Styela clava: one gene and its partners. The protein of the gene in region 1 purifies or fractionates together with the protein of each later gene. This does not show direct contact. Links are inferred from orthologs where the notes say so. Each region holds a gene or a part of one and is shown in the gene's direction. Other genes may lie near its edges.

Evidence for each region.
Region 2: the proteins of pescadillo homolog (region 1) and putative ATP-dependent RNA helicase DDX27 purify together in Homo sapiens (affinity purification with mass spectrometry; 4 studies listed by BioGRID and IntAct, counting the BioPlex papers as one, with this or other methods). This does not show direct contact. The link is inferred for Styela clava from reciprocal best matches to the Homo sapiens genes PES1 and DDX27.
Region 3: the proteins of pescadillo homolog (region 1) and ribosome biogenesis protein wdr12-like purify together in Homo sapiens (co-immunoprecipitation; 7 studies listed by BioGRID and IntAct, counting the BioPlex papers as one, with this or other methods). This does not show direct contact. The link is inferred for Styela clava from reciprocal best matches to the Homo sapiens genes PES1 and WDR12.
Region 4: the proteins of pescadillo homolog (region 1) and nucleolar complex protein 3 homolog purify together in Homo sapiens (affinity purification with mass spectrometry; 3 studies listed by BioGRID and IntAct, counting the BioPlex papers as one, with this or other methods). This does not show direct contact. The link is inferred for Styela clava from reciprocal best matches to the Homo sapiens genes PES1 and NOC3L.

Annotation. Positions count from the first base shown.
Region 1 is NC_135252.1:3,713,529-3,721,183, reverse strand, and holds the start of pescadillo homolog, read left to right. Parts: upstream 1-4,655; 5' UTR 4,656-4,794; coding exon 4,795-4,815; intron 4,816-4,921; coding exon 4,922-5,056; intron 5,057-5,883; coding exon 5,884-5,982; intron 5,983-6,059; coding exon 6,060-6,169; intron 6,170-6,854; coding exon 6,855-6,982; intron 6,983-7,252; coding exon 7,253-7,386; intron 7,387-7,655. Other genes in the region: MICAL-like protein 1, read left to right, coding at 1-923; uncharacterized protein K12H4.2-like, read right to left, coding at 3,351-4,160. UniProt on the Homo sapiens protein: Component of the PeBoW complex, which is required for maturation of 28S and 5.8S ribosomal RNAs and formation of the 60S ribosome.
Region 2 is NC_135257.1:251,778-259,575, reverse strand, and holds putative ATP-dependent RNA helicase DDX27, read left to right. Parts: upstream 1-4,788; 5' UTR 4,789-4,844; coding exon 4,845-7,163; 3' UTR 7,164-7,341; downstream 7,342-7,798. UniProt on the Homo sapiens protein: Probable ATP-dependent RNA helicase. Component of the nucleolar ribosomal RNA (rRNA) processing machinery that regulates 3' end formation of ribosomal 47S rRNA.
Region 3 is NC_135261.1:8,153,734-8,161,220, reverse strand, and holds the start of ribosome biogenesis protein wdr12-like, read left to right. Parts: upstream 1-4,474; 5' UTR 4,475-4,489; coding exon 4,490-4,504; intron 4,505-6,215; coding exon 6,216-7,487.
Region 4 is NC_135257.1:7,179,910-7,187,811, reverse strand, and holds the start of nucleolar complex protein 3 homolog, read left to right. Parts: upstream 1-4,889; 5' UTR 4,890-5,534; coding exon 5,535-5,870; intron 5,871-6,069; coding exon 6,070-6,196; intron 6,197-6,351; coding exon 6,352-6,501; intron 6,502-6,922; coding exon 6,923-7,158; intron 7,159-7,902. UniProt on the Homo sapiens protein: May be required for adipogenesis.

The DNA of each region.
Region 1 (7,655 bases):
AGCCTAAGAATAAAGCTGTTGATAGAGTCAACCCTTTTAATACTGAAGTTTATAAGAATTCTGCAAAACTTGATGACAAGATAGTAGTAAAGAAGAAACGGCCAGCTCCAGCACCACCAAAATCAACTTCAGCTCTTCTATCAACACAATCACCACACAAAAAAACAGCTGCCCCATCTAGGCCACCAGGATGGAAGGATACATCAAGTCAGAAAATGGTTGAATTGAATAAGGCTAATGAAAAAGATCCACGCTATACTAAAAATAGTACCAAGCCACAGTCGTCTTCAAAAGCTAGAGCCATGCACAAAAGCCCCAAGGCCCGTTCAGCACCTGGGTATGGATATCCACTTGTTAAGCGAAAAGTAGAAATAAAAATGTCGGAACAAGAGATTGCTAACGAATTGAAGTTACTCGATGTTCAATTAACTGATTATGAAACAAAGGGTGTAAAATTAGAAGAAATGTTGCGGTTTGCAATGGATAGTGAATGTGAGTGGACATCAGAAGAAGATGAGTTGCTGCAGGAGTGGTTTCAACTGGTTAATAAGAAAAATCAATTGCTCAGGCAAGAGTCTGACCTTGTGTTTCAGATGCAACAACAAAAACATGAACAGGAGCATGCAGATATTGAATTTCAATTGCGGAAGCTTTTTAACAAACCGGAGTCTACTAAAACTGATCAAGATAAAATCGATGAAGAAAATCTGCTGCAAAAACTTCTTGAGGTTGTTGAACGGAGGAATGTAATTGTTAATTCCATTGAAGAAGAACGCGTGAAAGAGGCAGAGGAAGATTCAGCGTATGAAAAAATGAAAAGGTTACAACAGAATCCAAGCAAAAAGAAAAAGAAGAATAAAGTCAAGAAGATGTTCAGCAAGAAAGGCAAAACAGACAAAGAAAATACTGCTAAGACAAAGTGAACGCAATAAAAACTATGTTACTGATTTTATCATAAGGAATGATTGTTTTCTACCTAAAACACATCCTCCGTTACATAGATATATAAATATACATGACTCATACATGATTCACTAATATTTTTATGAGCTAAATGAAATTAAGTATCCCTATAAATCATATCATTGACTGGCAACTCACCCCTACGACTTCTAAACATTGTATATATAAATACTTTCTATATTTGGAATTGTGAAGATTTAAGATACAAATATTATCTTTAATGACATTGACTCATAAAACAAATTTGTTTGCTAGAGCAATCATAGAAATGGATAATTTTGTATGTCCAATACAATCACTGTCTGTTAAATTCGGCCAAAAATGAGGATAAATAGTACTAACCATACGCATTTCGTATGTGTTGCTTATATACATAAATTTTTATTTAGTATTGCACATTTCATCATTATTTAGAACACCAATAATTGACATTTTCATGCATTTATAAAAGGGACATATATGTATTATATGTACTATCATTGTCATACCTACACCAATGGCTATAGTCCGAATACCCTTATTAGCATTGCACCAGATTCATGACAGTAATTATTTTCCGTGCAATCTGTCTTTTGGTGTTGAAATATTGCACAGCAATCAGTTTTAGTTGACAATCCTTAAGATACCATAATTTTAATGCTTCGATTTTTAGGATAAGCCGTTAATTGGTTGAATTTTTCAGATAATTAGGAGTTATAACATTTGATTTTATTGAGCTGAACTTTTTGATGCCATCGCTTTTGTAAATAAGTCCTGAGACTGCAGTTGAATATTACACTGCAAATAGAATTAGCATTTGAAAGTTCAAACCATACAATACAGTTGCCAAACCTGTGGCTGGTCCACAGAATCTGCACAAGTGTTTATTAACAGTGTTTCAATGCCTGACAGCCATTTTTTTAAATTTATGTTTTAGCAGATCAGAGCTCACTATTCTTATTTCTATATTGCTGACTCGCTTGCCCTATTACTGCTTGATTGTATGCATTTCACCAATTTTCTCTATATCATTACATATGCTAAGCAAAGTTTTAACTATGTATATCTACATTATATATCATAACAAAAATCTTTTGTTGCATATTATGGACATTTACAATTAGGTAGCAAGCAGAAAGCCCATGAAAGATGTATTATGAGGACAATAAGACTTTGTGTTTGCTTTTCATAATTTGTCGGGTTTAGCTGAAGGTTGGAATCTTTGTAACTTGGCTCTAATCTCAGATGATGATGTGAATTGAGCCAAAAATACTTGTGACTTCAACATGATGGAAGGCTTTGAAGGAAACTTAGCCTTTTTTATCGATTCAATCCACCTTTCGTGAATTACAGTCCTAAGCCAAAAATTCACTTATTTCAGACTCGTTTGTAAATATTTATTAAATAAAAAAAATCAATACAGAATGGTAACATAGGCAAGTTATGCACACATTACCTTTGACGATTTGGCCATACACATAGTCTTGATTTATAAAAATGTTTTTGACCAATGATTTAAGTTACATTCAAGTTTGCCAGTGAACTATATTTTTTGTTCGTCAAAATCAGGCCTGCATAACTCAAATAAAAGAAAGGGCTGCAACAGACGAAACAATTGTTTGCAGGACGCAAGTTATCATTATCACCATATAACTTGTATCGTGTCATATTGTTCGTAATGTGTAAACAGTGTAACACATGATCAATTCGACACAACCATCTTTTGTTGGGATGTTGTATCTTTTTTTTCAGTCATTGTTGTTATGTTGAAAAATGCTGGAACCGAACATCTCTATTGCATACGCTGTCATACATTTGTCCCTTAAAGCGCACGAGCTAGTATGTTGTAACAAAGAATCGTAGTGCCAAAATCGACGAAAGTGGCCAACTTGGATGTCAATTGAGCATTTAGAATTAAATGAATTTATATAGAATTGACTTATAATTGGTCTTTGGCCCCACCCTCTTACATATTTTATATGCATAAGTTATTTAAATCACCTCAAGGCCCACACGTCCTGTAGGTCTGGTCTGAATGCTCAATCATATTTTTGCTGAGTGCTTGTGGAATTGAAGCATTTACTCGGAATGAAAAGAGCTTTATGAATGTTTTCGAGTAGACCAGCACACAAAATCAAATTCATCATTTTAGATTGAACAGTCTCAATAAGGTTTCACATCAGTGGGTATGGTTATTGATAGTGAGAAGTGTGGTTCTAGTACAATGTGTAAAAGCCAAGATTCTAAAAATCTTCCCATTCATTTGTAACGACAGTAGCTTGTGTTCAACAAAGTGAAACAGGAAAACATTTGGGGTAAAGGTTCATTTGAGTGCATTTTCTTCTTGGTTAAAAAAATTATATCTACATTGAGATATATCATCTAATGATTGTTGTCTACTCTCCTCATTAAACTAAGAAAGCATCGTCATCCTCGAGTGTGTCATCCACATTTGACTCATTCTTGTCAGATTTTGATGACATATCAAAAAAGTCTTCTGGTGGATTATCCCATGGGTTGAGGTCTTCAAGGTTTCCCAAAGCTTTAACAGTATCTTCATTCATAGACATTAAATTTAGACCATCCATTGATAATCTTTTCATGATCTCTTCGTCCGAAGGCTTCTCATTCATCAAGTCATCATATTTATGACCCAGAGTCCATAACTTTTCGAGGTTATACTTTTCACGAGTGTCTTCAAGCATTATATGAATCACCATATTTCCCATGTCTATGCACTGCCAATCATCACTAATTCTTTTTCCTTCAATAAGTGTGAAAGGTTGCATACCCCTTCGTTTCGACTTATACAACTTGTTTGCCATTTCAGCAATGCTTGCAACATGCCTTGCCGACGTTGCAGTGCATATAATAAAGTGGTCAACATAGCACATTTTTTTGGGAACTTCAATTACAACGATGTCCAATGAGCCTTCCTCGTTTAAAAACTGAATGACCTCATCTAGATCGAGTACCCCCCGTTTTTTTGATAGAAAGTCTGATTTATCTTGTCGTCTTATAGTATCCCACGAGACTGTTGAACCAGATGTTGGTGGACTTTCCAAGTTTTCACTAGTCTCATGAGAACGAGAATAATAGGCAGTAGAATTACATTGATTGTAAGTGGGGCTGCATAGTTCACATGAATGACAAATGAAGCGTCCACTCCTGAGGGGCTGAAAGCGCTTCAAAATATTCCGAATAAACATCGTCGACATAATAGCAAATTAGTCTATGCTAAACCCCTCAATTGTGTCAACAATGAGCCGAAGATTATTCAATAAGGAATTCACAGATACTCGTAAAAGTCGCGCCTCAGCTGCGGTCCAGTATACGCAGAGTAAATTATTGTTTACTTCAATCACTTTATCCACCAATTGCCTTCGAGGCTCAACGTCTACAATCAGAGTATTCTTTGCAATCAACGCATGTTTAGCGTTTTTCATGGGAACTTTGATTTCGAACCTCAACACCGACCTCCCATGCACAATAGAAGCCATTTGCTACACAACAAATAACTTGAGGGAAAATGTGTTCACCAGTTCAAGTCGGCCCACAAGTCCCGCTAGAGAGTCCCACAACTGTCAAGAAATAAAAACTAATGAGATCGAATAAAATATGGAATGACAATTTAAATTTTATGAAAAGTACGAATAACACTAGAAATCAATAAACGCTTCTTCTTTTTAATATTCATTGACGACAAACCTTATTTCACGCTTCAGATCACAAACCACGTGCTGAATAAGAGGGGAAACACCGATGTATGACTCCTCTATGATAGATCCACGTTTTGGTAGAGATTTGGAATAACGTCGCTGTGATCTATTGCTACCAAACATCTTATCTGACATGGGAAGAATAAAAAAGAAGGTATTTATGTATAATTTATATAATTATTACATAATTTTTTGACTTATCTTTTTACTTTTATATACCAAGCACTCATATTCACTGTGAAACTATGTTATCTGTTTAGCATGAAGCCGGAGCTGCAACGCAATACATAACTCGAAAGCATGCTTGCAAGAGACTTCAGCTCAGTTTGGCCAACTTTCGACGAATTTGTATTCTAAAGGGCATTTATCCTCATGAACCAGCACATAAAAAGAAGGTGAATTTTTGTTTTGTCAAGCATCTAAAGAATTTCAATAGTTGATTATAATTTATTGACGCCAGATTATCTGAATATGGTATTTTTTGCAGTTATTGATAAATGTTTTTGTCACAATGATACAATCGTTGATATATGAGCTTTAGTAATATAAGGTCACATTCTTGTTTTATACTATTCAATTATAATCAACTGACTCATCTATAGAGGAGGGACAGATAGAAATAACTGACTGAAACGGCGGGCCACACCTTTTTTTAACATAGACTATCTAGTAGTTGCGTGGGCACAAAAATTTTGGTTATTGGATCTTGTGACATGCGTCGAGACGACATGCGACAAACCAGCTGCTAAGACACTGATATCTTCGCATCGCAGAGGGATTGAAAATTCTCGCACATACCGAATTAAATTAAACACATCATTCAAAATTGGCACTTCTCCAATTTTTACTTGAGGGCCGCAGGTTGCACACCCCTGCGGTAAAGTAAAATTATTGGTGTTTGTTCCTGCTCTAGAAAGTTTATGTTAAATGAAAGTTGCTGTCCTGGTTCCACCCAGTTATTTGTATCTGATGCTTTTGTATTGAAGTTTACACTCACTTGACATATACCCTTCAATGATGATATAGGTTGTTTGCCAGTTCTGCTTCTGATATTTGTGATGTGACTGCAGCCAATTTATTCTGAGAATTTTTTGTTAGCTATTTATATGTGGTCAATAGTTGAGTTAGAAAATTGAAATGAAATGAAGGTAAATTTGTATCATACAGGATTTCTGATGGGTTGTAAATTTGTATATTATTTTTATACTAATTCTATTTTAAGGTGAATAAAGGAAGCACTGCAAATCGTACATTCTACTTCTTGAAAGACATTCAATTTCTGGCACACGAACCTGTTATAAGCAAATTTCGTGAACATAAAGTAAGTCTTGGTTAACCTTTTTTATATCAGATTTATTTTAAAATTACTAGCGCTGTAAGTGTTTGGTCTCTTTTTAGACTTATATAAAAAAGTTGAAAAAAGCAACGGCAAAGGATGAAAAATCGAGAGCAGCATACTTGAGAGAAAATAAACCAACTTACAAGATTGATCACATTGTGAGGGAAAGGTAACAATATTTCCATAAGCATTACTGAAATACTCGTCATTTTAATTTTGGCTTTTATTTTTGTTGGAATTAGCATCTCACTCACTTTTTATAGAGTGTTATCAAATCTTTGCTACTTAAGAAACTAGTTTGTATTTCCTGAGCCCTCATAAGTCAGTCAATTTTATTACACCTTTGGTGAGGTTTTGGACCAGAGATGAACTGCTACGTCAAAATAGTTCTAACACTCTAGGTCAGCGGTTCCTAACCTTTTCAACTTGGCAGACTGATGACATCTTATGAAATGACCTCGCGGACCGGCAACAAATATTGAAATGACTGACACAAAGCATGGAACTAAAATAGGAAAAACATGAACGAGGTCTCATTTTAATGAGTGTCCTTTTTTCTTGCATTTGCTGTTTTATTGTTCTTGACTGAGTGAAACTCACGGGGCTAATACCACACTTACCGAAAAATTCGCCTAATAATGCAATGCAACTGCATGTTTTTTATGACCAAGCGATTGCACTGAGAGAGAAAAGTGAAATTTGCTCGTTCTGGTCTGCAGACCAGCAGTTTGGAACCACTGCATTAGAACATGGTGCCCACACAGTCTTGAGTTATACAATATACCGGTAGGTAGGTTAGATTAACTTGTCTCCTATGACAGTGCTGGTGACAGGGGTGTATTGATATTTTTCAGATATCCAACATTTACAGGAGCTATCCAAGATTTGGACGATGCTCTGTGCATGTGTTTCTTGTTTTCTAATCTACCAAAATCACACAGTATTCATTCTGAAACAGTTCAGCTTTGTAGAAGGCTTACAGGTAATTTTGTTTTTGAACACAGCCCGATTAAAAGGCTTTGCAAAATGAGCTTATTTTGATTACATGGATTTTAAGTAAAATATTTCTTTCATGAATCTTGTTTGAACTAGGGGTGTTTGATGTTCAATATGTAATTTATGCTTGACAAACATTATGGATAGGCTTATAGAATTAGTATATTTTCTCATGCCATCCTTTATTTTTCTACTTTTTTGTATATATTAATTAGATAATACTCATGTTTAGATTTATTAATATTTTTTCTTATAGTGGAATTCATGCATTATGTGATTGAAGCAAAAGCTCTGAGAAAAGTCTTTATTTCAATCAAAGGAATATATTTTCAATCTGAGATAATGGGACAGTCAGTGACATGGATTACACCACATAATTTTTCACATCATGTAAGTTAATATGACCACTACAACATAACATCATCCCGAATGCAGTTTTGCAGATTCCTGACTCAAAATTATGATACAAGGGTTTTAAATCACAAAATTAAACTCGAATATAAAATTTTACCTAAAATAGTACTAGTATTAATATTAGAAATTGAATTAATAAAAACAATCTGAAAAGGATAGATTTTTTATCCTGGAGTAAAAAATAATTAGATGGTTAGGAGCTGGAACCACTGAAATTTTATGAAGCTCTGGCTCTAGCTTCATTT
Region 2 (7,798 bases), on another chromosome or scaffold:
TTTTTCACTGATTTTGCACGTTTTGGCAAAATTTCTAGTGGTTTTTGACGGTTTTCACTGTTTTTGCACGTTTTGGCAAAGTTTCTAGTGGTTTTTGACGGTTTTTCACTGTTTCTCGTTAGTACGCGCAACACTGTCAAAAAATAAACCACCAAAACGCGCAGAAACAGTCAAAAGTCAACAAAAATCTCCAGAAAACGCATTCAAGTATACGTATAACCATTGACTTGACATTGTCCATGTATTATGTTAAGCATAGAATGGAAATGCGATTTATCAAGCATGATGGTGAGAATAATACTTGTTTAAGACTTCGTCCTGCGTGATAGCAATGGCATGCTTCCATTGTAACAAACATTTTTTGCTCATGTTTCCACGTTTTGGCAAGGTTTTTAGCGGCTTTTGACGGTTTTTGGCGGTTTTTGCACGTTTCGGCAAGATTTCTAGAGGTTTTTGACGGGTTTATGCGCGTTTCACACGTTTTGGCAAGGTTTCTAGTAGTTTTTGAAAGTTTCCACCTCCCACTTTCGCTAAACAACGAGATCCGCTGATATCCATTTACGGAACCGCTACAAGGTGCGCAATTTTTGATGACCTCATAGCACACAAACAAGCGAATTCCATAGAGCTCACAGAAATATTTGAAATAAATAAAAGTAATATCCGGCGCGGCAGTGTGGCTCATCGTGCTAAGCGTTAGGAATACGCTCGCCACCGCACCTCTAATTACTCTGCGTGGGTTCGAATCCCATGCTAAATGGTTATGGGAGAGAAGATCGCTGGACTCCTCGCTGCCGTAGGGTGATTCACGTAACCGCTGGACGGTTACGGCTTCCTCTACCACCAAGTCCATGCTTCCGAAAAAACAAATACCTAACTAACCCCATACCCGACATGGAATGATGACCGGACGAGAGGCCGTGGTTCGCCGTATGGTTAAGCCGTCTAATCTGGGGTTACCGTATTTGAAAAAGCAAAATTCCGGACAGTGCATGACTATTTTCATGACCTCGTAGTAAAAAATATGCGCATGGTACGAATAACAATGTTCTGTATTAGCAGTGTGCACAGTACGATTGCAGATGCAGTAAAATTCCGGATTCCGGACATTTAGGCATTTTTTAAATTCTTCCCGGACGCAAAATTTAACCCTAAATTACGGACATGTCCGGAATTTTCCGGACGGTATGGCTAATCGGCTTTCCTCTTCCCCGGGATAAATATGTAAATCCTATCCTATCCTTCTAGCGAAAAATACAATCTTTAGCCACTGAAAATTCCAAAGCCAAAGTAATTAAAGAAAAAAGAAAAAAAAATTCATAACGATAGGAAGAAAAATTCTAACATAAAGAACAGCAACAACATAATAACGAAACGATGAATAGGTCCACTCAATGAGCATTCATTGGTCCACTCCATGTCCAATAAATGATTTTACATATTTACGATTCTACCCACACAATAGGGAGATTTAGGATAGGATAGGATTTACATATTTATCCCGGGGGAGAGGAAAGCCGATAAGACGGCTTATCCATATGGCGAACCACGGCCTCTCGTCCGGTTACCATTCCAAGTCGGGTATGGGATTAGTTTTTTACTGTATTTTTTTTTTCGGAAGCATGGACTTGGTGGTGGAGGAAGCCGTAACCGACCAGCGGTTACGTGAACCACCCAACGACGGCGAGGAGTCCAGCAATTCTCTCGCACATAACCATCCCTGCATGGGATTCGAACCTGCGAACCCACGCAGAGTAATTAGAGGTGCGGTGGCGAGCGTATTCCTAACGCTTAGCCCGTTGAGCCACAAATTTAAATATGTGATTCCGTCAGCAAATGTAGGCTACGTGGGTGCAATTGTACGTGAATACAGATGTTAGTGGGTGACAATGAGCGTGGCTACAAACGCCCATGTGTGCAAATAAGATAGGATATTTCTTCCTGGGAAAGAAAAGCCGATAATATGATTTCATAATTATAAGGTGAACCGCGGCCTCTCGTTCGGTTACCAGTCCTTGTCGGGTATGGGATTAATAAGCTAATTATTTGTTTTACGTGGGTGCAAATGTATATGGATGAAAATGTCCGGCTGCAATATGTACGCGAGTGCTAAAATATGTTAGTACAATTGTCTGCGGGTTCAAAAGTATGCAGGTGCAAATGGTCTGGGTGCAAATGTACGTGGGTGCAAATATGCTGTCTCCTGCACAGAGAATGAGATTTAATCAATCCATGGTTCAAAGGTTATGCCACGCACGTCGCAGTAACATGATTTTCGGATGGCATGGTGGGTTAGGAATAACTTATGAAGAGATTGTTATGCCAAAACGAGCGAGCCAACTACGGTATTTATTCTGATACTGATGCATACTCGATAATCAGATACCAGGATAGGATTACGGTAATGCTGTAATGGCAGAATAGTCTGACTGACTGATGGCAGGATGGTTGAAATTAAAACGAAAATGGAAAAACGTAGAAGGGGCGATACCGTACTGGTAATAGCCTACTGGAAAAATAATGTTACTGTGTTAGCATATACCGGTACCGGTACGATAGCCTACAGATATATGAAGATTAAGAATATTTATCAAAATTGAGAAACAAATGGGACGATTGCAATTGAACCGCAGTGCAGTGCCTATTTTTGTATTTCCTACAAAGTTGAACTGGAATACCGGTAATTGTCTGAAAAGAGTTGAAGTAAATAATAACAGATCTTCAAAAAATACCTCTTACAGCTGTACAGTCTTACGTTCTGTACGTTAATTAGAACAGTAGAGGGAATATGATAATAAAACTCAAGTTGTTACCTCAATTTATGTTTTTATGCAAAATATTTCCAATGCCAAAAAAGTAAATGAAATTGTAGAAAAATTTGTATAGGTTATATTACAGTACAGCAGTATTATGTGTGTTTTTGAATATATATACTGATACACGCAGTAGAAAATAATGTAATATTTTGTGACAGAACTATCAATTTAAATTGCCTAGAATATAATATAGGACAACAATCAAGTGCTTATTTAGGTAATTAATAACTACCGTAATAGTGTATTCCTCATGCTGTCATGAGTATTATAAAAGTATAATTGATTTTAATTTAATTTGATTTTAAGTAATAGTTTGATCTGTATGATATCAGTCAGAATGGGCAAACATAGGCGAACATATATGACGAAATTATAAAAAATCTCTATTGCAGTATTGGGAAAAGACTTGTGATTATACTGAATTCAAATCATAGTGTAACTTGTAACAATATTCATAATGAAATTTTGGCAAATTATTTAAAAACCTTCAACTATAAATTACAGTGGGATATCTTGCCCTTGAAAACTAAGCTAGAAATTAAAAGAATAGCAAGAAATGTAATATATTATTATGCAATAGCGGACCTGACTTCGTATCACATACTTTCATGTCCTGTGAATATACCCAGAAAGTTTATTATGATTTTGTTTGTTTAATTATATTAAAATTAATTGGGATACATTTTATAATAAAATTATGATTTTGCATATTATTTACTTTTAACGATCCTTTATTTAGTCGTATAACTACTGTAAATTTGAATGCAATTATTCTTTTGTTATCAATAGTGCGATATAAAATTTGATTAAAATCCTGAAGTATGCGCACCAAGCTCTTTTTTATTTATATATTATTTATATGTATATAGGTGAAATAACTTATTCATTATGGAAAACTGTTACTGCTGGAACAAACTGAGATAAATTGTTAAACCCAAAAATGGATGCAAAATGGAGTTTGGAGTATGGACTTCTATTTTTGTACACAAGGAGTCCAGCATCCTCTGACCTCTCGCACAGGATTCGAACCTGCAAACCCATGGGGGGTCATTAGAGGTGGTTTGAACATATCTGGGTTACAGGAATAGCATCCATTCCAAGGATTACTCCCTTCTTGCTGTATTTTCTATAAAAGACTATGCCATCATACTGTCATAGTACAGTAGTAATATTATGCTATAGCAGTATACCGGTAATGTCATAAATGGAACCTTTCATTGAAATCTAGTGTACACTACGATACTTGTTAGGGATTTGTAGAAATATAACTGTATCATCCTTGCTGTGTATGGTTTGTCTACCATTTAGTACTTTTGTCATTTTTTCTTTTCAGCATTAAGTTTGAGATTGCCATGTCATGTCTAAATATTTTAATATATTTAAAATTATGCATTAAATTCAAAAGGGGCAACAAAAGCACAGTTGTAAAAAAGTCTGTTATCGCTAACATGACAGTTAACATCACATTTCTTCTGTAGACTGTATTTGTAGAACACAGAATATGTCACTTAAACACATAAAAATGTCAAGTGGGGAATATCGATGTGTTTTTTCTTACCATTGGGGCCCTGTTAGTATCAAAATCACACCCCTTTAGTAGTATGGCCCATTCCCATTCCAAGAATAGCCGCCATATTAAAAGACATCAATTATAACAGTGATCGCAATTCGCAAATTTTTTCTGTACGACAGAGTGTGGGCCTCCACCCTCCATACTGACAAATTGGCACTGCGCAACAAACTAAAAGGAACGCAATCTAAAATGCCATCATAGCAGGCTATTCCTCTGAAAAAATAGATTTACCGAAAGTAAAATATTGTTACCATAGCATCCGGTGGTTTTTAGCGAAAAAAACGCAATTTTGGTTATGTGACGGCTGAGGCCTGTATCGAATAATTTGAATTATTGTTGAGTTAAGCATGGCGCATTTGCTGTCGTGCCAGACACCCTCGTTACAACTTTATAATGATCCTATATTTATGTATATTCTTACAGTTTTAATTAGGTAACATAAGATTTATTGCCAAATGTCAGACTTGATCCAGACCATCAATGATGATGATGAAGTCAAAGTTGAAAATGAAGAAAGTGAAAGTGAAGAAGAGGCAAATGTCTTGACAAAGGAGGTGATTCAGCAGAAGAGACGAGGTAAAGATGATTTCAACTCAAAGTTCATTTTTGATGAGGATGATGCAGAAGAGAATGTAGGATGGACACTCAACTCGGCAATTGAAATGGCAAAATCTAAACATGCCATCAGCAGATCTTCATTAGATCAGAAAATTGCAGAAGTCAGGAGAAACCGATTGATAAAAAGTGCTCATTTTGCCACAAAGAATAACATGAAAGACAACATTGTATCGAATTCCCAAAACGTGAATGAATATTCTATGGATTACTTAAGTTCAGGGAGCGAAGAAGATGAGACTATGTTGAAACCTGATAAAATAAGAATAAAAAATAAAAGAACAAAATTGAAAGATTCCGATGACATAAACTTGGATGAAGAAATAAAAGCTATGGTGTCAATGAAGAAGATTAAACAATCCACTGAAGATGTTCTGGGAGACAAAGAATTCTTTAATTCATGCTCACAATGGAACCCAAAGTTGACATTTCAGGATATGAATTTTTCTAGGCCCTTGTTGAAAGGTATAAATGCATTAAACTATGTTGTTCCTACACCAATTCAACAGGCCACAATTCCAGTGGCACTACTTGGAAAAGATATTTGTGCCTGTGCTGCTACAGGAACTGGTAAGACAGCTGCATTTATGTTGCCTGTCTTGGAACGGCTAATCTACAAACCTCGTGTGGCTCCTGTAACAAGAGTTCTGTGTCTTGTACCAACTCGTGAATTGGCTGTACAAGTTCATGCAATCACACGACAAATAGCACAGTTTACGGATGTTCAGGTATGCCTGGCTGCTGGTGGACTTGATATCAGGACACAAGAAGCAGCTTTGAGGCAAGGTCCTGACATACTTATAGCTACACCTGGTCGTCTGATTGATCATCTTCACAACACACCATCTTTTCAACTCGAATCTGTTGAAGTTTTGATATTAGATGAAGCTGACAGAATGTTGGATGAATTTTTCGCAGAACAGATGACTGAAATCATTCGACTTTGCTCTATTGGGCGACAAACTATGTTATTTTCTGCCACAATGACAGACAAGGTAAATGAACTTGCATCAGTGTCACTGAAAAATCCTATGAAGTTATTTGTGAATAGCAATACAGATGTTGCACCATATCTTAGGCAAGAGTTTATTCGAATTCGCCCAAACAAGGAGGGTGACAGGGAAGCCATAGTTGCTGCTTTATGTTCTCGTACCTTTGTAACCAGTGTTCTTATATTCACACAAACCAAAAAACAAGCTCACAGAATGCATATTGTACTGGGATTATTAGGACTGAAAGTGGCTGAGCTCCATGGTGATCTGAACCAGTCTCAGAGGCTGGAAAGTTTGCAGAAATTCAAAAATGCTCAAGTTGATATTCTAATTTGTACAGATCTTGCTGCACGTGGATTAGATATTGAAAATGTTAAAACTGTCATCAATTTTACAATGCCAAACACACACAAACATTATGTGCATAGAGTAGGAAGAACTGCAAGAGCTGGAAAAACAGGACGATCTGTTTCTCTGGTTGGTGAAACTGAACGTAAAATGCTGAAGGAAATTGTAAAACAAGCAAAAAACCCAGTGCGTAGTAGACTTGTTCCTCCAGCAGTGATTGAAAAATACAAAGTAAAACTCGATGAATTGGATGAAGAAGTAGGTGAAGTTTTAAGAATGGAGATCGCAGAAAAAGAAATGATAAAATCTGAAAACCAGATAAGCAAGGGGCAACGGCTTTTAGGAAAGAAACCAAATGAAGAACAAATTGAAAAGAGAAACTGGTTCCAATCTCGCATTGAAAGAGAGATGATCAAAGCAGAAAAGATACTTGGAAAACATTCAGAAGCCAAGCCTGGAAAAAAATTTGTAAAAGGGAAAATACTGAAAGGTGCTAAATTTGTTCCGCTACCAAAAAATGCCCAAGAAAGGGCTGCTAGGGAGCTTGAAAAAGTACAAGCTTTTCAACTGAGAGAGAAAAAACGAAATCGTAAACAAAAACGAGCCAGGGCCTGTGCAGAAAATGTCAAAACAGCCTCAGCCAAAATCAAGAAACCCAAAAACAAGTCATCGTTTGCATCTGAACTTACTGACACAAGTGCTCGGTCAGTTAAAAAGTTCAGAGCTGGTCCAAGTTATGAGGAACGAAAAGGGTTTAAAGGCAAGCAAAAATATAAAGAAAGAAAGAAGCAATTTAATGGAAAATTGAAACGACATTGAGAAAAAAATGAAAAGGTTTCTTCCCACATGGACTGGTGTCATAAATTGTGCAGAGAACTGGTTGTGTTGGGACATACCTTGGTAATATGTTCCATTTATATCATGCTTTAGTCTCCCCTTTTATGACAATTCCAGTGAACTTTAAAAAATGCTGCCATCACGAATTACTAACCTATAATTTTTGTCGAAAATTTTGAGTGCATTGAAAGAATGGGATGGGACAGGTGATATCGGTCGTCTAATTATATTAAGTTGTAATTTAGTTTGTAACGTCCTATGCCAACGTCAGTGACCTATCGTTTTATACCCAGATTTATAAATGTGACGTTTGTTCATATCGCAGCATACATGTAAGCTTTGCTTGGATATGAAGCTCGCGCGCTAAATCAATCGCTTGAATTGCGCAGGAACCACGGGTCGCTAACAGACAAAAAGAACAAATTTGAGAAATCGTTGTCTTTGTGCTGAGATGTTTTTTGCGCTTGACTTCCAATTCTGTATTTGGCACAAATACCATGCACGGCGGGCAGGGTGGTGAAATTGTAAACAAGAGTAGAACGTAAAGTCAACCGTGAAGTTCGTTATAACAACGCACATTGGCTCGTTTACGACTTGTTGAATTCCTTCCATTTTGA
Region 3 (7,487 bases), on another chromosome or scaffold:
AACGGGGAAATACCATCATGTCCAACTGCTTTGCCCTTTTTCAGGTTCAATATTATTTGGTGAACCTCGGAAGGTGTCGTTTGCTCCAGAAAAAAAGAGTGCTGTGAGGGAGCACTCAAGAAAGCTTTGAAAGATTTCTTGCTATGTGGAATATTGTCAGCAAGTTTCTTTCCTACAGATGAAAAGAATTTATTGAATTCGGCGGATATTCTGGCGGGGTCGGAAACTGTGGCACCATTTTCAAGCTCCAATTCAGAGACGATGGATTCATTTTTGGACCTAACTTTAATAATGTCATTGATAGTTTTCCAAGTGTGCTTCACATCCCCTCTGTTGTTTTCAAGGATATTATGGTAATACATTTGTTTTGATTTTCTCTGCAAGTGCGTCAAAATGTTCTTGTATTTTTTGAAGTGGAGACGCTGGGATGAGTTTCCCTTTAAGAATTTTTTTCTAAACATATTGTTTTTATGTTTGATGGACTTACGAATTCCTTTAGTAATCCACGGTTTAGAGTAAAGTTTATTTTCTCTACGCGAAAATGGTCTTAATGGAGCATGTTTATTAATCAACCATTTGAAGTGACTAAGAAAAAGATCGAATGAGCTATTGAAGTTTTCCTCATGTATGCTAATACTAGTATAATTGTTACAGATCGACTCAACCTCCAATCTGAACAGGTCAACACAAAATTTAGTCATGTCACGTTTCATGCGAGTGTTTGTCTTTATATTGCCAGTAGTTGCTGATATTGTGCACATTACGGGAAAGTGGTCAGTGAGATCACTGAGCAAAATAAATGATGAATTGCAGAAATTTACGGTATTGGTGTAAATATGGTCTATAAGGGTGTGAGAGGTCGAGGTAACTCTGGTTGGTTTGGTAATGAGCGGGCATATAAAATTAGTCATGAGCATGTCTAAATACTTGGTAGTGAGATTGTTATGAGAATCAAGAAGATTTAAATTGAAATCACCTAATATTATAAATTGCTTTTTAGCCATTGTCAGCTTCTCGAATAGACAGGACATTGCTGTGGTGAACGCTGGAATATTATTTTTGGGATGCCTATATATTACACCAACAACAAGATTTTGAATTTTTGAGGTTGGTTGGAAGTTCTTTAATTCAATCCAAATGTCTTCGCAGTTAGGAAATTCTAAGCCGAGTTTAGAGCATGCATGATAATTTAAATTGCTATCAATATAAAAACCAACACCGCCTGCTCGAGTTGGGGATGGAGCATGTATGAAGGTGTACCCAGGGATATTAACATTCGCAACACTGTCACTTATGATCCTGGTCTCGCTTAAGGCGATGATTTGAGGTGGAGTACAAAAATTGGAAATCAATTCAACTAAATTATCAGAATATTTAGGTAATGATCTAATATTAAGGTGCAAAATGATGAACTCTGAAGGTAGAAAACTTGACGTTACCCTGTTGATATCAGATATTTCAAGATATTGACTTGGGGTAGAAGAAATTTCAGGGTGAAAGTTGATAGATTCCCAGTTTGGGTTGGGATCACTGTTTAGGTCATAGATAGGTGATGATAATGGATACAATTTTAAAGAACATGTAATAGATTGTGATCAAATAGGCTAGTGCGATGGGGGGAATGTCATAGCTTGAAATTTTCCAAAAGATACTGAAGGTTCTTAAATAGGTCATAAGGGGAATTAATAATTTACTTAAGTATAGCAGTGGAAAAATCATTGGACTTATCTTATTTTATCCAGATCGTCTTCATCAGTTATGGACAGAGTGTTCGTGTCTTTGTTCTTTTTAATCAATATCTTGCCATTTGATGTCCACAGAAAGGCGTAACCACATCGCTTCTTGAGGACCTTCGCTTGGTAAAATAAGTTTTTATTTCTTTCGGTTAGGTTTTCAACCACGAACACCTTTGACAAGTCTCTTATAGATGTTGTATTGTTAGAGGTTTTGATCAAGTTTCGATTTTTGAGTATCTTGGCTCGGATTTTGCGGTTTGTGAATTTCGCTACAATTGGTTTATGGATGTTGGTATTCCTTGTTGGACAGCGGTGTGTTACGGAGATGTCTGAAGGCTTTATGTCTACATGGATAATTTTTCCGATTTGTGTTACTAGTTCATCAGTATCTTCATTTTCGGTTGATGGAATGCCATGAAATTCTAGGTTATCCATCCTAGATCGACGTTCATGTTCTTCTATTTTTTCTGTGACATAAAATAACTCATCTTCAAGATCGTAAACTAACTCTTCGAGATCTCGTATTTTTTTGCTATAAAGAGTAAGTTTCTCATCTGTAACTTTTTGCTTTGCAATAACTTCGTCATATTTCTCAGATTGGAAGCTTTGTGATTCTCTGATAGAAGCAAGGTCTTGTTTAATTTCTTTCAGAGATATCATCTGTTCCTCCATGCATTCTTTTAGACCTGGACTCATTGGTAGGTATTCTGATGAAAAGTTTGCAGAGCTGAAGTTTTCTGTTAAGCATTTGGCAATTAGGGATGGTAACTGGTTCATGATGTTTGTTTGTATTGCCTCCTGTAGGTTTATCTGGAAGTTAGAGTGTTCCTTCTGTTGTTGCAATACAGATCCAATTGGTGAAAGGCCTGGATCGGGAAGACTTCTACTCAGGCGTTGCTTAGGCTTTGGTTTGGTGGTATTATTGATCGAAGCCATGTTGTTGTGGATGTTTGAGATATACGCTGGAATTGATGTTAAAATAGGCAGCGAAGAATCAAGTTAGACTATTCTGCTAGTTTAGGTTAGATTTAAAACCTTAATTATACAGCGAATAATCAATGCCTCGTAGATGTTGCCTTTCTTCTCTGGCCAGCTTTAAACTTCATCAAGAGAGTAGTACAGCACTCTTGAACAGACTCAAGACTTCAATATTTGAGTTGGTGCAGGGGGAGAATCAAGTTAGACTATTCTGCTAGTTTAGGTTAGATTTAAAACCTTAATTATACAGCGAATAATCAATGCCTCGTAGATGTTGCCTTTCTTCTCTGGCCAGCTTTAAACTTCATCAAGAGAGTAGTACAGCACTCTTGAACAGACTCAAGACTTCAATATTTGAGTTGGTGCAGGGGGATACCGCCCGTGCAAAATAAAACCAGGTTTGGTTACTGAAAGCTAATTCTAAGCAGGTTAGAATATATAGAGACCGATTCGACCATTTCAACAGACCAGGCCGGCGCTAAATAAACTTCGTCAAATTAGATATAAAAATTGCTTGTCGCTGGGTTTCCAAATAGGTGTTTAAGACGCCGTATAGTTATTAGTTTGTAGATAGGAATAAGAATGAGGAGTAATTATCAATCCCACTTTCAACAGCGATGATTTTGCCATTTTCTTGTCCTTGTACAATTTGAGTTAGTCATTTTTTTTAAATTGCGGTGGGGTTGGGATGAGATATTTACACAGAGCTGGATACAGGTAAATCTGACATTTTCTATTTCATTGAAATATCCAGCTCTTGTTTATTCGAACCCACGCAAGATAATTAGAGTGGTGGCGAGCGTATTTCTAACGCTTAGCGCGATGCATCATACCGTGGAGCCGAGTTTTTAGTTTAGATTAAACACTAAATTATACTTTTGTTAAATTTTCAGTAGTTTCTACTTTTTTGTTGTCAAATTATACTATGTTGAGATACAAAAGAGCAATGCACAAATATATGGACATGAAGTAGTACGGTTATGCCATCTGTTACAAACAACGACTAACATACCGGTTACAAAAGACTACAAGTACCGGGGTCTTCAACGAATTCGCTTTGCTGTTATACGAACGCGGAACCGCCACAAGATGGGAATTTTTAATTTTGATGAATTCATCGCACACAAAAACAAATCATAAATTTCATACAATTTTTGGAAATAAATAAACGCAATAGCCTTCTAGCGAAAAATACAAACTCAGCATTGATCGAATCCCATGGAGCCCACAAAAAGTTTCGAAATAAATAAAAGTAATAACCTTTTAGCGAAAAATACAAACTTTGGTGCTCCTGTCGCATACTGCAGAAGTACCCAATCTTTAACCAATGAATATTCCAAAACAAATGATATAACAACAAAACGATTCATGACCATAGGTCCATTTCGTGTCCAAGAACAAAACAATCCACAGTTCTATTTTGTATCCAAAAACGTCCATTAGAAGCATGCTCGACTCCATACACCACTGTATTTTAGTTTTCATTGTCCGTCACTTTGAAGTTAATCGAACTACTACAACTAGCACGTGTGCAGACTTTCGTAAGGCGTAGGCAGGCAAAATGGTTTATTCCATGTTTTGTAGGAAAAGCACTATTTTAATTTAAAAGGTAGAAGTTTATTGCATTCAATTATTTACTTCAATTGTTCAATTGCTTCAATTGCTGTTTTTGTTAAATTGCTTTCAAAGTACTGCCCGATTGCAAATCGCGTTTTTCTGTGTTTGTTTTCATCTTTTTTGGTGGGCGGGCACGTACATTGTACGCTTTTTAAGTTATGCCAGTCTCTCAGGTATCTCTGCATTTTGTTTTGTCTGTTTACTTTTTGTATTGTTTATGTCAGAGAACCAAAATAAATGACCGGGTACCGGTACCGTACCGGTACATTACCTGCATACCAATTACGGTACCGGTAGTATTTTGGGGTCTAGTATAGTTTAGTACCACAAGTACTTCCGGTGGGCGTAGCATAACGAATTTTGCATATGCTATTCCTAACCCCCACCTGACTATGCCATCCAAAAATTACGTCACTACGGCGTCACCATCACGTCATAGAGATTGCCAAAGTATAATTACGATCGCCCGAAATGACATCTGCGCCGCCGATAACGAACTTGCTAAAGCCGGCGATCTCTCTCCTATAGTGATTGTTGTGGCGAGAAAACGAGAGAAATTGCTTGCTCGATTTCGGGTGATCGTCTGCGCGTTTTAAACGACCATCCACATACTTCTGTACTTTGGTGCCAGACTGGATTTCATGGCAGATGCACGCCCGAGGGCGCTAGCGCTCCACAAAAATGCACGCGAGCGAATTCAATTTTGCACGCCGAAAATTTGCAATTGCTCACCAATGTAAATCGGTTTAAATAGTTTTTAAATCAATAATCTAGTAATATAAAGATGCCAAAAAATTATAACTTTACAATTGTCGACTAATACTTTCTTGCAAGATTTGGCCTGATCGAAAAATGCGAAGCAAAAATCACCATATCGTGTTGAATGATAGGAATCCCGTGAGAAAAATCGCCTCCTCACCGACGCTGGGCAGTTATGGCTCTGATTCAGCGCATTTTTAATACAATAATTTTACACGGATGTACTGAACAGTACCGGTATCTAAAGTCGCACAAACACTCTCAAAATTAGTGACAAAATATAGAAATGATGTTTTGGGGTCAAAGGTCAAACGTCCATTTTTGCTATGATCCAACTTATTTTTACGCGGATGTATTGAGAGGCATCTTAGTTCGAAATCAGTTTAGCGGGCGCAGTTGTTTTGCACGCCAGAAATTCTTATTTGCACGCGGGAATTTCTGATTGCACGCCCGATTTCTCGTTCGAAAAGGCCCTGAAATCCAGACTGGCTTCGGAGGGCCTTATTACGCCACTGTGACGTCGAAATGACGTAATTTTTCGGTGACGTAGTCAGTTGGGGGTTAGGATTGACATATGCAAAAATTGTTGAGCCAGGTCAACTAGAAGTACATGTTGTACTAAACTATACCAGACCCCAAAAATCTTTACAAGTTAGTTATGGTATGAAACTACACGAGACCCATTATTTTGGGTTTGGTTGCCTTCATCCGATTATATGTAATACATACAGACATAGGCCAATGTTGAATAATTCATGTTTCTTATTATATTCTAATGCAAAGGATGAAGCGTTGTAATTAACTATGTTAACATCACATTTTCATGATCACAGGTACAAGCCTCTTGTCCACCATTTATCCCGGCTGCCTGGGGTGTATTAATTTGCTTGGCAATGCTGAACCAGAAATAAAACAATATGTCTTGCATATCCAGATATCAATGTATCTATAGAGCGTTTGGGGTGGACGCATGAAATCACTGTATAAAAAACAATATTTTTTATGATGTGATTCACATTTTTTCTGCATATTCAGTGAATGAACGAACGTAAATCGTGTGTCAAAGAGCCTCATTCACATGTACTCTTTATGTAATAATGTGTTAATAATATTTTGTTTTAAAAGATACCTAACAATATGGCGGATCATATTCAAGCTAAGCTTGTAACTCAGGATGAGAAATATAAGATTGCAGATACCATGTTTGAACTGCCGGGAGAAGTAACTGTTACAGAATTAACAAATCTCGTAAATAAAGTTTTGAAGGAAGGAGTCAAAGATGCGATAGATGATGAAAATGAATATCAAAATATGGAATTTGATTTTCTTGTGAATGGAGAGTTTTTGAGAATTCCACTTAACCAATACATCGAGAATAAAGGTATATCGACAGAAAAGGTTGTGGAAATTGAATACATTTTGAAACAAGAAAGTCCGAAACCAGAAGATCAATTTACACAGGATGATTGGATTAGCAGTGTACAAAGTACAAAAGAATTCATTTTGACAGGATCGTATGATTGCACTGTATCAATTTGGAATATGGATAGTTCAAAACCTTGTATATATGGTTTCGGTCATACAGAACCTGTAAAGGCAGTATCATGGGTAAATCGTGTCAATAATGATAAGACTGCTTATTTGATAAGCTCATCCCAGGACCAAAGTGCCATTTTATGGCAATGGGAAAAAGGTGAAGAAACTATAAAACCTTTATTTTGCTGCCGGGGGCATTCTAAAAGTGTTGATTGCGTGTCAGTTCATCCTGAAATGGAAGCCTTTGCTACCGGTTCGTGGGACAGTTCAATAAAATTATGGTCGACATCTCCTGTTCCACAAGATGACTCAAATGAGCCAGAAGATTTTCGAAAAGCAAGAAACAAGAAAAAACGTCAGCGTATAGAGCAGCGTGGTGTTACTAGAGTTCCAAAATCGACATTAGCAGGTCACCGAGAAGCAGTGTCATCACTTGTATGGTTATCATCTTCCGATTTATGCAGTGTGTCTTGGGATCATACAATCAATGTTTGGGACATAAATGAGGGTAAAGAAAAATTAAACTTGCGTGGAGCAAAAGTATTCTTAGCATGTGACTACTCTTTTCATAGTAATCTACTTGCGACCGGAAGTTCGGATCGGCATATCAGAATTTGGGATCCACGAGGAAAAGATGAAATATTCTCTAAAGGATCTTTAATTAAATGTAATCTAACTTCACATACTGGATGGATCACCTGTGTAAAGTGGTCACCCAGTAATCAATATCAACTAGTGTCTGGATCTCTCGATTATACAGTTAAATTATGGGATATACGAAGTCCGCAAACTCCACTTTTTGATGTGAATGCACACCAAGATAAAGTTATGTGTTTGGATTGGAGTAATGATGACATTATA
Region 4 (7,902 bases), on another chromosome or scaffold:
GCTTTACCGGTCCGTCACTTGAAAAAGGTTGCCGACCACTGGTCTAGACCATTCGTGCTACAGTTTCACTAGCAATGAGACACTGATGTCTGAATGATATAATATGTATTTTATCAGATTTTTACACCAAAAGTTTGCATTATTTTTGACACATTTATCATCATTTTTCATTTTAACCGATTATTAAAAGAACAATTCTTTGCACTTGAATGGCAGTACACATCCCGTGTAGCTAACCTGGAAATCAAATATGCTCTCAAGTGGCGGCTTAATATGCACTCTGTGCACTCTGTGAAACGAACATTTGAGTGTAAAATATCAGGTATCATGATATATTGACTTTGACGTCGGATAGAATTCTAGATTGAACCGTGTACGTTCAAGCAGTCGACACAAGCTTAAAAGTAACTTAAAAATCTCGGTCCTTCCAAACTCACTACTTTGTGGCTGTATTTAGAGATTTATTCGAATCCAACATTTGTAATACATTGTGTAAATGCATTTTATTGCTTTTCAGACAATTATTCTACGTCACCGCTGTAGGACAAATCACAATGTCTTGTATCAACGGTGTGACCCGCACGGCGCAAGTTCTCTTAGCAGCTGCATGGTTCCCTCGAATGAAACTGCGACGGCTTTTGTACTTCCTGTGTTTGTTAAGACTTTGGCTGGCATAATCAGCTCACTGATATACCCATACGCCACCCAAAGGTCGTTTCTGCTACTGAAAAAGGAACTGAGTTTTTTTCCGGTAACAATCTTGTTTACAGCTACACACGGATTTTTTGGTGTCGCCGTTTTTCTCGCGCTTGTGCTTGTATTTTACTGCGACAATAATCCACCATCTCCACCTAGTCGATCCCAGAAAAAAATATTTTTTTCTAATGCAAACTCACTCAATACTATGACATACGGAAGCCGATTGGTAGCAGTATGGAATGCTATCTACTCGAAGGCATTCTTTTTTCTCGGTATTGCCATGTTTTTTGGTGGTGTTGCACAGTCATACGCAGTGTTCCTAATGCCATCTCTTTTTCTATCATCATTTCCTGAACTGGACAATCGGATACCAGCAGCGCCGGATTAACCATTGAACAATCATCAATGTAAGCACGTGCTTAGGGCACCCAGAAAAGAGGGGCACCACAGAAATTTTATAGCAAAATTCTGTATAGTTTGTCGGTGTTTATTAAAATATTACGAGTTCACCAGACGACTCAAAGTTCAAAATGTTTGCTTTTCTTTCGTCTTCAAGTATAATATTAACCTTCTTTATTAAAAAAAAATACTGAAACTTATTTATTGGACACGAAATGGGCCTATGAGTCGTTTTCTTAAATTGTTGTTCTATTTTTCTTCCTAGTATTCTCCTTGTTGCTGCATTTTTGTTTAAAAAAAAAGTGGACCAATGAATTAATCCGCGATCGCATTTCAACGGTCTAGTGGTCAGCAAAGTCGGGAGGTATTTGATAAGGTAGACCAGGGTGGCCCAAAGCCGTCATGCTGATACTTTCCGTGCGGCCCACAGAACAATTTTAGCTATATTTGTATCTGATAGCCTAACGTGTTTGAGATTTTTAGCTATTCCAACTGGGGTTGGGATCTCGAGATTCAAACCCCCTTTTCTAAGGTTTTGTGCCTTTTTTTAGTAAAAAACACGGCCCTGTTTTCAAGCGTGGGCCATGTGACAGTAGTGACGAAACACAGAGTCGACTCAAGGCCGCGCAATCCAGTATTTAGTTAGCTAGTTCCGAAATACCAACTTAGACGGACTTGGTTGTTATTTGACGATGGACTAAGTTTTCTCACGCTGTAAGTTTTTAAAATACTCAAATTTATATAACAATTCGTAATAAAATGAGTGTCACAGGAAAGGTGAAATAATGATAACAAGGCGGAAACGTATTTCCTTGCCCACCACGCAGTGTCTGGTTTGCTTTCAAGTAATATCCGTCACGAAAGAATATAATTTAAAGAGACATTAAACGCGAGATGCGAAAAATACAACGGTAATTCTCTGATAAAGTAACCTGAAATTCACGAAATATATCTGTTCCTTTTTGAGACATGAATTCCCGCAAAGTGAGATATTTCTCGCGAATCTTAAGTCTGGGGGTATCGGATGCGACAGTGAAACAAACAAAAAAATTTTGACTTACGAAGAAGCTGATTACTTTGGTCGTTACATTCATATTCAATGCGTCGAGTTACAGTATCATTACTAGGCAGTAATTTTAGCTTTTCACTCAATCCTGCTTGTTTACTGCTTCTGTGCTGACTCAAGCGACGCCAACTTCTCTTCCTTGATTTATTTCGACAGCAAGCATACCTCTTCATAGTACTTCTCCCCATTAAAAGATTCACCACACTTTATCATCACATTGTATAGAAGCAATGTGCTCTGTTATCTATTCGAAAAGATTTCTTTCAAGTGATATGAAACGTCCGATTTTCCTGTGGAAGAGGGAGAGTAATTTCAGAAAGCACTATGACATCATAAAAGCAGCTGAAAGAACCTAATAGCTACGATGACATCAATTTAACTAATGAAAGCATGATGACTTCATGATAGTTCAATAGTTTTCCATGAACTTTATGTATTTGTTTACAGTAATCATTACTGTCTTGTCATTTTTTCATTGCATGCCTCACTGGTCACTTGTATAAATAAAGTTCACTCAGCTGTAAAAGGACAGTTTGTCCTTGATAATATGTTGAGCATGTGCTCTGTCTGTTTGAGATAATTGCTTTAATAATTGACTTATCACTTCAGTCTTATTATGGCAATCATTCAATAATTTCGAAATGAAAATGATTGATTTTTCAAAGATTTATGAGGGCCGGAAATTATTGCCTTGTAGTGCCATCTTAAGGCTATGCTGTTCTCGCATAGAAAGCGTTTACTTACGTTGTCGGTTATCCTGTTCATTCCTGACAAAGGCATGGATATATGTACATTTCATTTGAAGACGTAATGACAACATGCAACTCAATCATGCATGTTTCTGGGATGATCTGGGAAACATGCATAAGTACAAAAATTTTGCAGTGGACCTTTCCCCGACCTTTGTCCCCAGAAAAATTCTTCCTATACCTTACCATTGCAAAAATTTCGGGGCTATTTTTAAGAATGCTTTTGCGAGTTGGCGCCAGTAAAATGGGGTATGTGTTTCAAACCAATGACATTAAAATTGTTTAATGTCATTGCTTTCACCGACCTTCGACCCCGAGAAAATTTTATCTATACTTTACCATTGCAAATTTTTTGGTGCTCATTTTAGAGTTGGCTTCGCGAGTTGGGGTATATGTTTCACATCATCATTTTGATTCACAACATTCAACAACCTGTTTTTCAATAGTAGGCTACCCGTAGAGAAGTTTAGCCTAGTCTATCACAGCTATTTCTAAACTAATTTTTGATTACTGCAAATAAGCTACGACTCCAAAGCAGACAGAATGATCATTGAGTTCTTTGATTCATACTTAAATTTTCGAAATGCAACCAAAAACTAACAAATAGCATGCAAAAACGCGGTAATGTTTACAAACATGCTTGAAAATCTTTTTGAATGACAAAAGTGTCTAATAAGTGGTTGCGAAAACGTCTATTGTTACGTCAGTTTGGTCTTGCTGATTAGCCAATGTTACGGAATAAGCAAGGAAGTCGATGCTTGGGGGAAGGTCCATCGCGGAACTACTTACATTTATGTTTTTGACTTATTTTGCAAGAATAAAAAATAAAGAACTTTTAGAAGATTTACTATTTCTAAGCTAACCGTTTATTGTGGAAAACCTGATGCGGCCCGGACTCACTCAGACTCTGTCTCAGTGGCCCTCAGGTAAATTGAGTTTGAGACCCCTGGTCCATACCATTGAGGTGTGGTCCATACTCAAGTGCCGGTTTTATGGAGAATTTCAGGGGGTCAAGGGTCAGAAAAACATCGCATGTGTTTTCAGGATTCCCGAATAATTTGAGTACCATAGTCAGGATTACACGTTTACACAAAAATTTATAGGTTTATCCACGGATATTTATTAGTTTTCAGACGTTTTGGACCTCGTAGCGGTAGTTTTCCAGATGGAATAAGCGGTTTGGGACTTTGAGTTAATGACTTTCTTGAGAGTTCTGGAGTTTGAGAGTTGTTTAAAAATAATACCGTAATGAAATTTATACAGTTGAGTTAATGACTTTCTTGAGAGTTCTGGAGTTTGAGAGTTGTTTAAAAATAATACCGTAATGAAATTTATACAGTTATAGTCATATAACGTTATCTAAATTTTTAGTTTAAACTGGTACCGTACCGTACTTTCTGACTTTAGCACTAACTAAATAAAAAGCTGAAAAAATTATAAACTGTTCTAGTAGAAGGTTGATATCAAATCTACAAATATGCCGCAACCGTCTGATCTACTTGAGGAGCTTTCAGCATTCAACAGTTTCCTTGGTGGAAAAAAGTTAAAGTTAAAACTGGATAAAAGTAATATACCAACGTGTGATGAATGTAAACTTTCTGGTTATGCAACCCTTGCTTGGTATCTCTCTGATCTATGGAAGAAAAATGATTTGACAGGCACAAATCCCGAAGTTCATGCAATTGTATGGCAGTGGCTCGAATTGAGAACAGAAGCTTCAAAGTCTCTCCTTTTTAATGACTTCATAACGAAAATTGAAAACCATTTATGCCAGAATACATATATTGCAGGAAACATGCTTTCTGTAGCAGATGTTCTATTGCTATATTCAGTACATGAATTTGTGTCTCGACTCTCATACCAAGAAATTAATAAAACATATAGAAATTTGGCTAGATGGGTTTCCCATGTTCAAACTTTCCTTCCCAAAACAAATAAATACCCCAAACTAGGTATTTCAAGAAATTTAATATATTGATATTGAATGAGAATTATTAAAATTTAATGAAATTGACCTCAATAGTAAAGAGTTAAGGTATATAAGAGTTGTTGGCAATGGATTTGTGATTTGAATTTCTCTCTATATGTGATCATGGTTTCTGGGATTGTTGAAAATCTGAACCTTGTATTTCAAACTATGGTTTTATTAGTTTGAACAATATCATTTTTGCAATATTACAAGTTATTTATAAATATGAGTGGATGTTCACTGTTCAATATCCCTATATTGTATTTGATTTCTCTGTGATTGTTAGCTAATTTTATACATTGCAATATGAAATTCATGGGTGTTCAGTTAATAATGGAATAGTTTGTTATTCTGGTCTTCCGGGTATATTTTATTGTTGGGCATTCGTCTGGAGTTGATATATTATAATGTGAAATCAATTTTTACACAAAGAAGTTCCATCAATTGTGCTTTTTATTAAGTACCATAAATTGAAGCTAAAGTATGAAATCGCTCTAGTTTGCATGGTTCATTGTTATATTGCGGAGAAAAACAACCTTGTTCCTGTGATTTTTGTCCAAAGATTGATAACATGAATAATAAATGCAAATATTGTTCTTACCTGTTAAGCATTTGTGACTAGAAAACAAATATAGGCTGTATCAGATTTAAAATGGTACTGGCATCCAAAGCAGACAGAAGACGAAAGCGGCGCCTTTCTGAAAACGTGCCGCAGTATGAGAAGGTGGCAAGGATATCAACATCTTATGTAAAAGAAGATTCGTCTAAAAAGATAAAGCATTTATTGCCAATCAAGGATATTTCTGGGGCTGTGATTAAGCAGTATGAAGAGTACTATGTAGATGATGTGGTGGAGAATGGTGTAATTGAAGGTGATCATCAAGATGATGAAGTCATGGATAAACCTGAAGAGAAACCCAAATTAAATGTTCAACAAATAAAGATGCAGATTGCTAAAATGTGTTCAAACATAGTCAATGAACCCCAGGTATTATATTTATATATACCGTATATATGTATATACACACTGTAATTTTCTTGATTACTTTTTTCTTGATTACTTGATCTAAACTGTTTAGGATTATGAACTATTTAGTCATAAACTACCATAATTCAATATGTCGACAAATACTCTGTCTGTTTCCCTTCAAATTGGAAAAACAATTTTTAGTTAATATTGTTTTCAGATTCACTTCAGCATTCTGAAGAAACTTCAAAACATGATGTGGACAGAAAAACCAATGGAGACCTGTTTTATTATTCGTAAATTAGCTATGGCATCAATGGCCTGTGTCTTCACTGACATTATACCAGGTATGGTATATGATTGAAACAACTTTAAAATCTGTCACATAGTATATACGCTAGTTGTTTTATCTATAGGTGTAGATATTTTAAACATATTATTTTAGGAAATTCTCTAAATGATGATAATCTTATGAAACGTTCTTTTGTGTGAAATTTTGTAGGTTATCGAATCAGGGAAAGAACCGAAGATGAAAAGTCTGTGAAATTAAGCAAAGAAGTTCGAACATTGGTGGACTTTGAAGAAGGGTTACTGAGACACTATAGAAGTTTTTTAGAGAGCTTGGAAAAAGTTTTAAAAAAAGAAAAGAATGGTTAGAAATTTATTACTAGTCATAATAGGCCATGTATTTTACATTGGTATTACCGTATTTTACGGGCGATAAGAGGCACTTTCAATTCTATTTTATCTCCAAAATCGATTGTGCGTCATGTAAGCCGGTGCGCCTAATGTATGGATCAGGTAGTGCTTTTTTGTACCGTCATTGCTTTGAAAACTGTGTCTGTGTAGTCTGGTGCGTCCTTTGTGAATGATGATGGCCTTTATAATATGGTTCATAAAACACGGTAATCCATTTCTTCTTGCTCCTTGGTTATCCAATTAAATATTGGCATTGCCTTATCTGCAGAAAAGGTGGAAATACTTTCCAGCTTTAGCAGATGTACATACGGCTCTAACTTGTGATATTCATATATGCTTATGTTATTATTAAACACTTATGCAATGTTATTCAGAGAAAAATCCTATTCTTTCTGGAGAAGAGAAAAAAGAATTGACTTTCTTGGCAGTCAAATCTCTTTGTGAATTGTATGAAAAGACAACACATTTCAACTTTCATAACAATATCGTTATGGTTCTTGTGCCTCTAACAAATTCTAGCAATAAACAAATATCAGAAATGTGTTGTAATTCTGTGAGAAGTATTTTCCGAAGTGATAAATCAGGAGAGGCATCTTTGGCAACAATCAAAGTAAGTATTGTATTATAAAGAGGACTGGGATTGGTTTATATAGGTATTGTGGTCAATGTTAGATAATTTTATTATGTTCATTTCAAGGCGCTCCCGAAGTATGTGCACCAACATGGCGCACAACCTGAACCCTAACCTGGTATAAATACTATGTTCAGGATGTGCGCCATCGTGGTGTACATACTTCTGGAGCTCCCATTCCAAATGTATAGTTACAGTTTCAATACTATATGCTTATACAGGAATGCATGCTGTTAATAAACATGTAGAACTAAAGTAAAATTGTGGATTCCCCTATCTGTAAAGCTTAGTCGTAATTGTGCTTGACTTGTCGTCAATATTCTAGTCCAGTTTGTAATGCATGAACATAAAGTTTTTGTATTCATTAATTCAACTACCGTAATTTATATTTTAACTGAAAATTATAGCTGAGATAGGATAAGGACATATACCTAGTGACGTATGCCATACATAAAATAGCTCAAAAACATATTTCTTTTGATGTGGTATTTGATGGTGTTGCTAATTGCATGTAGAAGAGTCTTCTATGCTAGCAATTTACATGTTCAAAAGGCTCATAGCTCTTTCTGGTATTAACAATATCTTTTCTATTTTTTTGATTGACATATGTTTATTGACACTCTCAGATTTATATTATCCACTAACAATTCCCACATCTTAAAATGTTTGTAATGACTGCAATCCGGCATGCCAATCCCTCTGCCATCATTGGCTTCATTTTTC